Linked DNA regions of Drosophila melanogaster. The protein of the gene in region 1 interacts with the protein of each later gene in a pairwise test. Each region holds a gene or a part of one and is shown in the gene's direction. Other genes may lie near its edges. The genes, in order: Alp6 and gNacalpha.

Region 1 (5,048 bases):
GGAACCTTTTTTAATTATAAGGGCTGGCTCATTACCATAATAACATGTTTTGAACGTCAGAGATCGTCGCCCACTCAATTATGTCCTTCAAGTAATCCCGTCATTAAACACGACCAGGTGTCGTTTGTTCGGACTGCAAAACAATTATTAAACCATTAGGAGGTATGAATGGGGCGCTATATAAGGAAAGGGTTCTGTAAGCGGTTAAAATCATGTATCCGCGATTCCTCAGCCGTAACTATCCGCTGGCCAAGCATTTGTTCTTCGTCACCAGATACTCCTTTGGCCTGCTGGGCCTGAGATTTGGCAAAGAGCAATCGTGGCTTCACCTCTTGTGGCTGGTGTTCAATTTCGTTAACCTGGCGCACTGCTGCCAGGCGGAGTTCGTCTTCGGCTGGAGTCACTTGCGCACCAGTCCCGTGGATGCCATGGACGCCTTTTGTCCTCTGGCCTGCAGTTTCACCACGCTCTTCAAGCTGGGATGGATGTGGTGGCGTCGCCAGGAAGTAGCTGATCTAATGGACCGCATCCGCTTGCTCATCGGGGAGCAGGAGAAGAGGGAGGACTCCCGGAGAAAGGTGGCTCAAAGGAGCTACTATCTCATGGTCACCAGGTGCGGTATGCTGGTCTTCACCCTGGGCAGCATTACCACTGGAGCCTTCGTTCTGCGTTCCCTTTGGGAAATGTGGGTGCGTCGTCATCAGGAGTTCAAATTCGATATGCCCTTTCGCATGCTGTGTGTGATGTTGTAGCATGTCAGTGAGGATTAGATGTTCTGATTAGATGTTCCACAGGTTCCACGACTTTGCGCATCGCATGCCCTGGTTTCCAGTTTTCTATCTCTACTCCACATGGAGTGGCCAGGTCACTGTGTACGCCTTTGCTGGTACAGATGGTTTCTTCTTTGGCTTTACCCTCTACATGGCCTTCTTGCTGCAGGCCTTAAGATACGATATCCAGGATGCCCTCAAGCCAATAAGAGGTGGATGGTCCATTATGCATATGGCTAACATTAAATTCGGGTGTATACTTTCTAAATAGATCCCTCGCTTAGGGAATCCAAAATCTGCTGTCAGCGATTGGCGGACATCGTGGATCGCCACAATGAGATAGAGAAGATAGTCAAGGAATTTTCTGGAATTATGGCTGCTCCAACTTTTGTTCACTTCGTATCAGCCAGCTTAGTGATAGCCACCAGCGTCATTGATATACTATTGGTAATAGCCGTCCTTTTAAGTGATAAGCACACTAACTCAAACCAATAGTTTCTATAGTATTCCGGCTATAACATCATCCGTTACGTGGTGTACACCTTCACGGTTTCCTCGGCCATCTTCCTCTATTGCTACGGAGGCACAGAAATGTCAACTGAGGTGGGACAGGTCGAGTCTCTTGATTAACCTTTGACCTCTTTCATTTCTAGAGCCTTTCCTTGGGAGAAGCAGCCTACAGCAGTGCCTGGTATACTTGGGATCGAGAGACCCGCAGGCGGGTCTTTCTCATTATCCTGCGTGCTCAACGACCCATTACGGTGAGGGTGCCCTTTTTTGCACCATCGTTACCAGTCTTCACATCGGTGGGTTATAATCTGTATGGCACTTAGTGCAATCCACTAATGAAACCCTTTTTTAGGTCATCAAGTTTACAGGTTCGATTGTGGCACTGGCTAAGACGATACTGTGAAAAAGAGTGTTGAATTAAAAAATAACCAAGTACTTAAATTTAATAGCTACTATTTTGTATTAGTTTGTGGTTGCAGCCTAGCCCAAAAGTATGCAATTTACACAATACATATACAATTGTGCAGACTCGAAGTCAATTAATTGCCGGGGTCAAGGGTTCAAATGTGGGATTAAAGGGCTTGCCGTAAAGTTTGAACCATAAAGTTTTCTAGTAGCAGTGAAACCATTTATTCTTCATCGTTTAACAAAGCTACTGGCATGATTCAATAAATTTGAGTGCAATAAGTTAGCAATGTTTAAAAGTTGAGGCAAACAGGATTGCCCCGGCTTCAGATTGATTACGTAGGTCGTAGTATACGCAATCGGTTAATGGACAGAGAATCAAAGCCATAAGAAAGGCACGTGAGTGTGTTTTGGCATCGGTTTCGGTCTGTTCTACGACTTCTGTCAACTTAAACTTGGCCAGCCATAAATGATGATTTGATTGAACCGTCTAGATTAGTTTCCTTTGATTAGATTTACTCTGATACTGAGCGATAGCTCCGAGGCAGCGCCCAGTTCCTTGGTCGGTCAGTCGGTTTAGTCTTTAACCAAGGTCTGACCTCCACACCACGCCTGGGATTAGCTGAAAATGGCCAGGAGATTCATTCTGTTGCTCGTCTTAGCTGTCTGCCTGAGCGGAAGTGCCAGCGGACAAAGAGGTAAGGTGCTCTGAAGCTGGATTTTAGAACTCAGCGATACCTCAAAAGTGTTTTTATTTAGAATAGTTCGAAAATGTTTAGGTATTTGAATTTATTTTGTTTTGTACGCCAGTTCAGGGAATTTATTTTACAAGCAGCTTAACTATTTAGATAACTACGAGTATAAAAACATGTCAGATTTTATGTTTGTCCTCCCAAAGGATGTGTTATTTTGACTGGCGCTGACTTGAGATTCAGCGTGCAGGACGAGGTACTTTGAGATTAAGTTCTTTAAAATAACTTCTTATCTTCCAAGTTTACTTGAAAAAAATGTGTAGAGGAGATAAGACTCAAATAATCCCATTGATATATAACAGAAAATCCAAACCCAAAATTATTTATGATCCTTCTATTTTTTGACCAATGCTAATAGTTATATTGGCTTATCGGAAACCTCTTATTGTTATAGTAATTATTGAACTATTTTGCCATTCTTTTCAGACCACCCTCGTGGGCGTTCCTTTGATGCCGAATCGCATCCGATCAAGTATGCAGAGGAGCAGCAGACCCAGTACTGGGTGGATAAGGCCCAGGCGAAGCTGTTATCGAAGCTGGCCGAGCAGGAGTCCGCGACCACAAACAAGGCGAAGAACGTGATTCTGTTCCTGGGCGATGGAATGTCCGTTCACACGGTCACGGCCACCAGGAATCTGCTAGGCGACAGTGCGGAGCAGGTGTACTTTGAGGGATTTCCCTACACTGGCTTGTCCAAGACCTACTGCGTAAACCGCCAGGTGGCCGATTCTGCTTGCACGGCCACCGCCTATTTGGGCGGTGTGAAGGCGAACTATGGAACGATTGGCGTTAACGCCAATGTGTCCAGGTACAGCTGTGATGGCGCCGCCAACGAGGAGGATCGGGTGCTCAGCATCGCGCATTGGGCACAGGCGGCTGGCAAGGATGCAGGTCTGGTGACTACAGCCCGGGTAACTCATGCATCCCCAGCTGGTGTTTATGCCCACATCGCGGATCGCAATTGGGAGAACGACTGGGAGGTGGCCAACAGGGAGTGCGATCCCGAGCAGACCATCGATATTGCCCGTCAGCTCGTGGAGCAGCCTGTGGGTCAGCAGCTGAAGGTAATCCTTGGAGGCGGTCGCAAGAACTTCATCGACGCAACGGTAAATGATGAGGAGGGTTATCCCGGCAAGCGTACCGACGGTCGTCACTTAATCCGCAGTTGGTTGGATCAGAAGAAGGAGGCCAATGTCTCAGCCAAATACGTGTGGAGTCGCAAGGGACTCAGTCTGGTGGATCTCGAGAATACGGACTACCTATTGGGTCTCTTTGCCAATGATCATCTGCCGTACAACGGTGATCGGGACAGGAAACGTAGTCAGTTGGCGGATCCTTCGCTGAGTGAGCTCACGGAGGCTGCCATCACGGTGTTGAGCCGCAATGACAAGGGATTCTTTCTCTTCGTCGAGGGTGCTCGTATCGACATGGCCCACCACGATACCTTCGCCAAGAGATCCCTCGAGGATACCGCCGAGTTTGCGAGGGCTGTCCAGAAGGCTCGCGAACTTACCTCCGAGGATGACACACTGATCGTGGTGACCGCTGATCATGCTCATGTTATGTCCATCAATGGTTATCCTGTGAGTACTTGAAAGTTTCCTTTCTAACAGCGATAGGTATTTGACTTATGATTTCTGAATTCCGGCAGTATCGTGACCAGGAGATCACCGGATTGGCTCAACTGGCGGATGATAATCTGCCCTATACGATTTTGTCCTATGCCAATGGACCTGGCTACTACTCCGGCTACAATCGCGCTGAGGGACGTGCCCTTCTAAAGGAGAAGTTGGTTGCGGACTCAGACTATCAGTATCCCACGCTGGCGCCCTTGGACGCAGAAACCCACGGAGGAGATGATGTGGCGGTGTATGCCTCGGGACCCTATGCCCAGTACTTCAGTGGCAACTACGAGCAAAGCAATATTCCGGCGCTGATGGCCAGAGCAGCGGGTATCGGGCCCTATGCCTAGGATTTGGCTGATTTTCTTGGCGCATGTAAAACTCCTCTCGCTGAGATGGAATAATTAAAATGCATCATTGCTAAACGAATCTTGCATGGGAAACTGTACCGGGAATGGGGCAAATCGAATTCCGTCTAATTGAACTGACAAGCTGTGCAATTTCCTGTGGAGCAGGGGAGCTGCCCCCCCAATAAATGCCACCTGACGGCAAATTCAATTAACTAGCAATGGCAACTGGCATCTGACAACCTGCAGGCAGCCTCAATCAGTCAGCTGCAATCACTTTGGGGCTGAGCCAATTGACCAGGTGGTTTCTGGCCAAATGAAGAGAGAAACGCGGCCAGAAAGAATGGCCAGCCATCAGCCATTATATGTTTCATCATAAATCCCAGAAAATATGACATTCAAATGGAATCCATCGACAATCCGTGCATTTCCTGCTTTAAAGATGGCTATGAATATCTAAGTGGATTTATTTAAAATGGGCTTTGACTGTCAAAGAAATACATTCAATGGATTCAGGTTGGAATCGTCAGCAAGGTAACAAAAATCAGCGCTGAAAATCCTCCTGGAAAAAATTTATCATATCTTTCCGAAGGATAAGGCTTTAAAATTAACATTTTTCCCATATTTTCAATCGCACCTCTA
Region 2 (3,770 bases), on another chromosome or scaffold:
CTTGAAGGAGAGTGAAGACCTCGTCCTGGTGGGCCTCCGAATTGGGTTCATTTTTCATGCACAGGCCGTGGCAGCAGAAACTAAACTTCGAGGCTAAGACTAAGCCCCAATAAGTTGGATGGGCCCAGATGACACCGCAGCATATGGGGCGGATAATTAATCATGGGACGAACGTGCCAGGACGCCCAAAAACTTTTCACCCTTCTCCGGCTCTCCGGGTCTCCGAGTTCCAAGTCCGCGCAGAACTTAACTTAACCGAGCAACATTGAATCGAATCGACCGAGATGTTAAGATGCGAGGACTCATGGCTGGGCAAAGGGAATATCTGATTAGTTGGCCTCTCGAATTTAATTATGGTGACAGGACAGACTCTGCGGCGGCAGCCGGATGCATCCTCGGTCTCCTGCCCTCCACATCCTCCTAGTCCTCCTCCTGCTGCTTCATTCGCCTCTCCTGAATAATTTGTGCAACTCAATTAGGCGTTGACCCCACGATAAAGTTTAATAATTGCAGGTGGTGGACGCCCTTCTTTCGCTCGAACTTTAATTAAAAGAACCGAGCAATTAAAAACGCATCATCAGACAGAGCGCAGCGGCTTGCAGAAAAAATGCAATACATGCTCCCGATTACCACATACCTGTTATGTAGGAAATAGGAAAGGTCAGAATTCATGAAAATTATGCTAAATGTTATGTTAACTCCATTGGGGATTTGATCCATACGTGCTCATATTCTTATTGTACGGTTGTCTCGAATTGTGATGTAATTTCCGTAACACGAAGAGCGCCCTAATAGGGCGTGGCACTTTTTTAATGCACTTAGCAAGTGTTTTTTCGCCACACGCAGAACGCAAAACAGGATCACACAGCCCCGCCCTGAACCGCCTGATCTGGGAAATTCGGGAGCCGGAAAACCGCAAGGAAAACCGCACGTGTAACCGCGCTTGCTCCACCGCGTCGTGTTTGTGGGGCTGCTCCGCTTTGGAGGCAGACTGCGGTGCGACCACGACAGCAATTAACACGGAGGAACCAGCTTCAGATTCAGGTCTTTGGCATTTTCCGGGCATCCGAGTTTTACGACTTTGCATATTCGAATATTACCCAAATAACCGCTGAACTTTTCATTTCTCCACCACTTTTAAACTGGCTTTGTCAGGTGAAAATTTTCAAGCACGTCACTGCAGTGGATTGATTTGCAATCATCAATTTCGATAGAATTTGCGAGGCGCTGCAGCAAAACTTTTATAACCGCGAAATTAAGTGCACAGTTCGAAGGCAGCTGACATTCTCGTTTGAAAAATACCAACTTTCTTCAGAGCAGCGCTGCTAACGCCTATAATCAGTTCACGATTGCACTGGGACCTATCGATATCGATAGACTTAGGCGTGCTCTGCATGTTCGAATGGCCGAGTGGCCATTTTAAAAACTTATAATCTTTCCGAAAGCAACACTTGATATTGTTTATTTCGCTATTTAGGTGCCATTAGCATAAAAAATTTCCAGTTTTCATTATGAAAAAACTTTTCGATAAGTATACCAAATTTCGCAACAGCACTTATCGAAGAGAGCAACACCAGCTGTCAAGCCACTGGAAGTTTCACCTCTGATATTTCCTGTCAAGTCTTTCCCGCAAGAGGTCACACCACGTGCGCTGCCAATTTGGAAATTTTTTTGGAGAAGTTGTCCTCGCAAATCTGTGATCGCAAATCCCTCAGTTGCTGTTTATTCCTCAAGATGGGTAAGAAGCAGAAAATGAAGAAGGCTGCCCAGATGGCGACCGCTGCCGAGAAATTGAAGACCGCTGCCGAGAAATCGAAGACCGCTGCCGACAACGTGGTGGCCAAAGAAAAGCCTGCCGAAGAAGCCTCTCCCTCACCAAGTGGCAGTGGAAAAAAAGGGAAGCCCAAGGCAACGCAAAAACCAAACGTCGCAAAGGCACTTCAGAAGGAGATCTCCAGTTCGGAAGACGCCTTGGATGTCAAGAATAAACCTCCGGCAGGCTTTAGTGGCGCAAAGGGGAAGCCCCACATCATGGGTCAAATGGACCCGGCCTACCGCAACAAGATCAAGAAGCTGATGAGCCTGGCCAAACAGCTGCCGCCCAATGTGTTCAGTCTGCCGAACTCGCAGAAGGAGGAGGGCGCCTCCGCCGCGAAATCCTGCGTAGTTGAGGATGATCAGAGCACGGACTCCGATGACGCCCCGGATCTCGTGGAAGCGGATCCCAAGGAGACCCAACCGGACGAGCAGGGTCAACTCGGTACGGTGGCCGTGCGAACACGTGAGGTATCAAAGCAGTCTCGCGGCGAGCGGAAGGCACGCCGGATCCTCATGAAGCTGGACCTGAAGCCCATGGAGAACGTGGCCCGAGTGACCATGAAGAAGGGCAAGAACATCCTCTTGTACATCGATCAGCCGGACGTCTACAGAGTGGCGCACTCGTCGACGTACATCTTCTTTGGGGAGATCTGCGTGGAGGACACTAGCACCACGTCCGTCGCCTCCCAGGCAGCTGTCAAGGCGGCCGAGCGATTCCGTGGAACCTCGCCTGCCGGGCGGCAAGGTAACGAGGATGGAAAAGCCCCTGGCGAGGAGTCCCCACACGACGACGACGACGACGAGAACGATGGCGAGGACGCGGATGCCATGGGCCTACATGCGAAGGACATCGAACTGGTACAGATGCAGGCCGCGTGCTCGCGCAAAAAGGCGATCCAGGCGCTGCTGAAGAACGACAACGATGTGGTCAATGCCATCATGGCCCTGACTGTGGGTTAAGTCGCTCTGAGTGGCTCCTTTGTATTCAAAGTCATGAAATAAAGAGAATTTCAATAACATCCATGTTCGCCATAGAAATTAATGGTAATTAAATGATTACAATCAAATCGTAAACTTTCATGTTGTTTTTATTTACTATACTTTCATGTAATCCAGACAATCCTTTCGGACTTCACTTCTCCTGGTGGATGGCTTGTTCTACAAGAATGACAATCTCCGGTGCCAATGTAGCTCGTACTATATTAAATGCCGATCATTTCCTGGTTTTTGAAAATGTTTTCGGTCCCAGCAGAAGAATCCCACTGAAGAACCCCTTTGTACAGCGAAATTGCCATCTTATTTCAATTTTCTAATGAATTGACATTTCCACCATTTCCATCTTGGCACAGTGAAAGCATTTTCCGAAGGGCGAAGAACGCATATGCGAACCCGAACCATTTTCATTATACTCGTATTTGCTCTTCCATCAGCGCTAGACTTTGGCAATTTTCCTTTCAGGTACCGTCATTCTTGGACATTTTCTCTGTGGCGGAAACTTAATCGCTTCTTTCTTTGTGCCGCTGACGCTGCACTCTTGTTTACTCTGCACTTAGTTTTTAGCCATTTGGCGAAGTCCCCCGGCACTCGACTTTGCATTTTTTGCTGGCGAATTTTTGACGACGCCGTGATTGCGTTTCAGCTCTTTCAGGGGATTTCAGGGGTACTCCCAGGTGAGACAGGTGACGTCGCTGCTGGTGACGTGGCTACGCAAGTCCTGCTCCGCGGACATTTGACTCAATTAAATGGCTCGACTACGTTCAACGTCCCTTTTCTGGCCCCAAAAGCCACTTAATGACTAGCTCCGGCTCTAACTGAACTTTTTTTAATTTTCAGCTGTCGTCAGCAGCCGTAAAAAAGGCTTTAGTTTTGCATTGTGGGCGCTCAACAGTCCGTGCGGCTGAGCACGTGCCCGCTTTTTCGCCGGAAAAGTGGAAATGGAAACTTTGTAGGTG

What was found.
Region 2: the proteins of Alp6 (region 1) and gNacalpha interact in a two-hybrid assay, tested with the Drosophila melanogaster proteins (one large-scale study listed by BioGRID).

The regions. Positions count from the first base shown.
Region 1 is NT_033778.4:9,559,386-9,564,433, forward strand, and holds Alp6 (alkaline phosphatase 6), read left to right. Parts: upstream 1-2,252; 5' UTR 2,253-2,313; coding exon 2,314-2,383; exon of another isoform or gene 2,384-2,863; coding exon 2,864-4,020; exon of another isoform or gene 4,021-4,088; coding exon 4,089-4,409; 3' UTR 4,410-4,486; downstream 4,487-5,048. Other genes in the region: Or45b (odorant receptor 45b), read left to right, coding at 213-736, 795-982, 1,042-1,217, 1,275-1,373, 1,424-1,576, 1,633-1,683.
Region 2 is NT_033779.5:1,035,645-1,039,414, forward strand, and holds gNacalpha (germinal nascent polypeptide-associated complex alpha subunit), read left to right. Parts: upstream 1-1,601; 5' UTR 1,602-1,734; coding exon 1,735-2,778; 3' UTR 2,779-2,862; exon of another isoform or gene 2,863-2,889; intron 2,890-2,934; 3' UTR 2,935-3,041; downstream 3,042-3,770.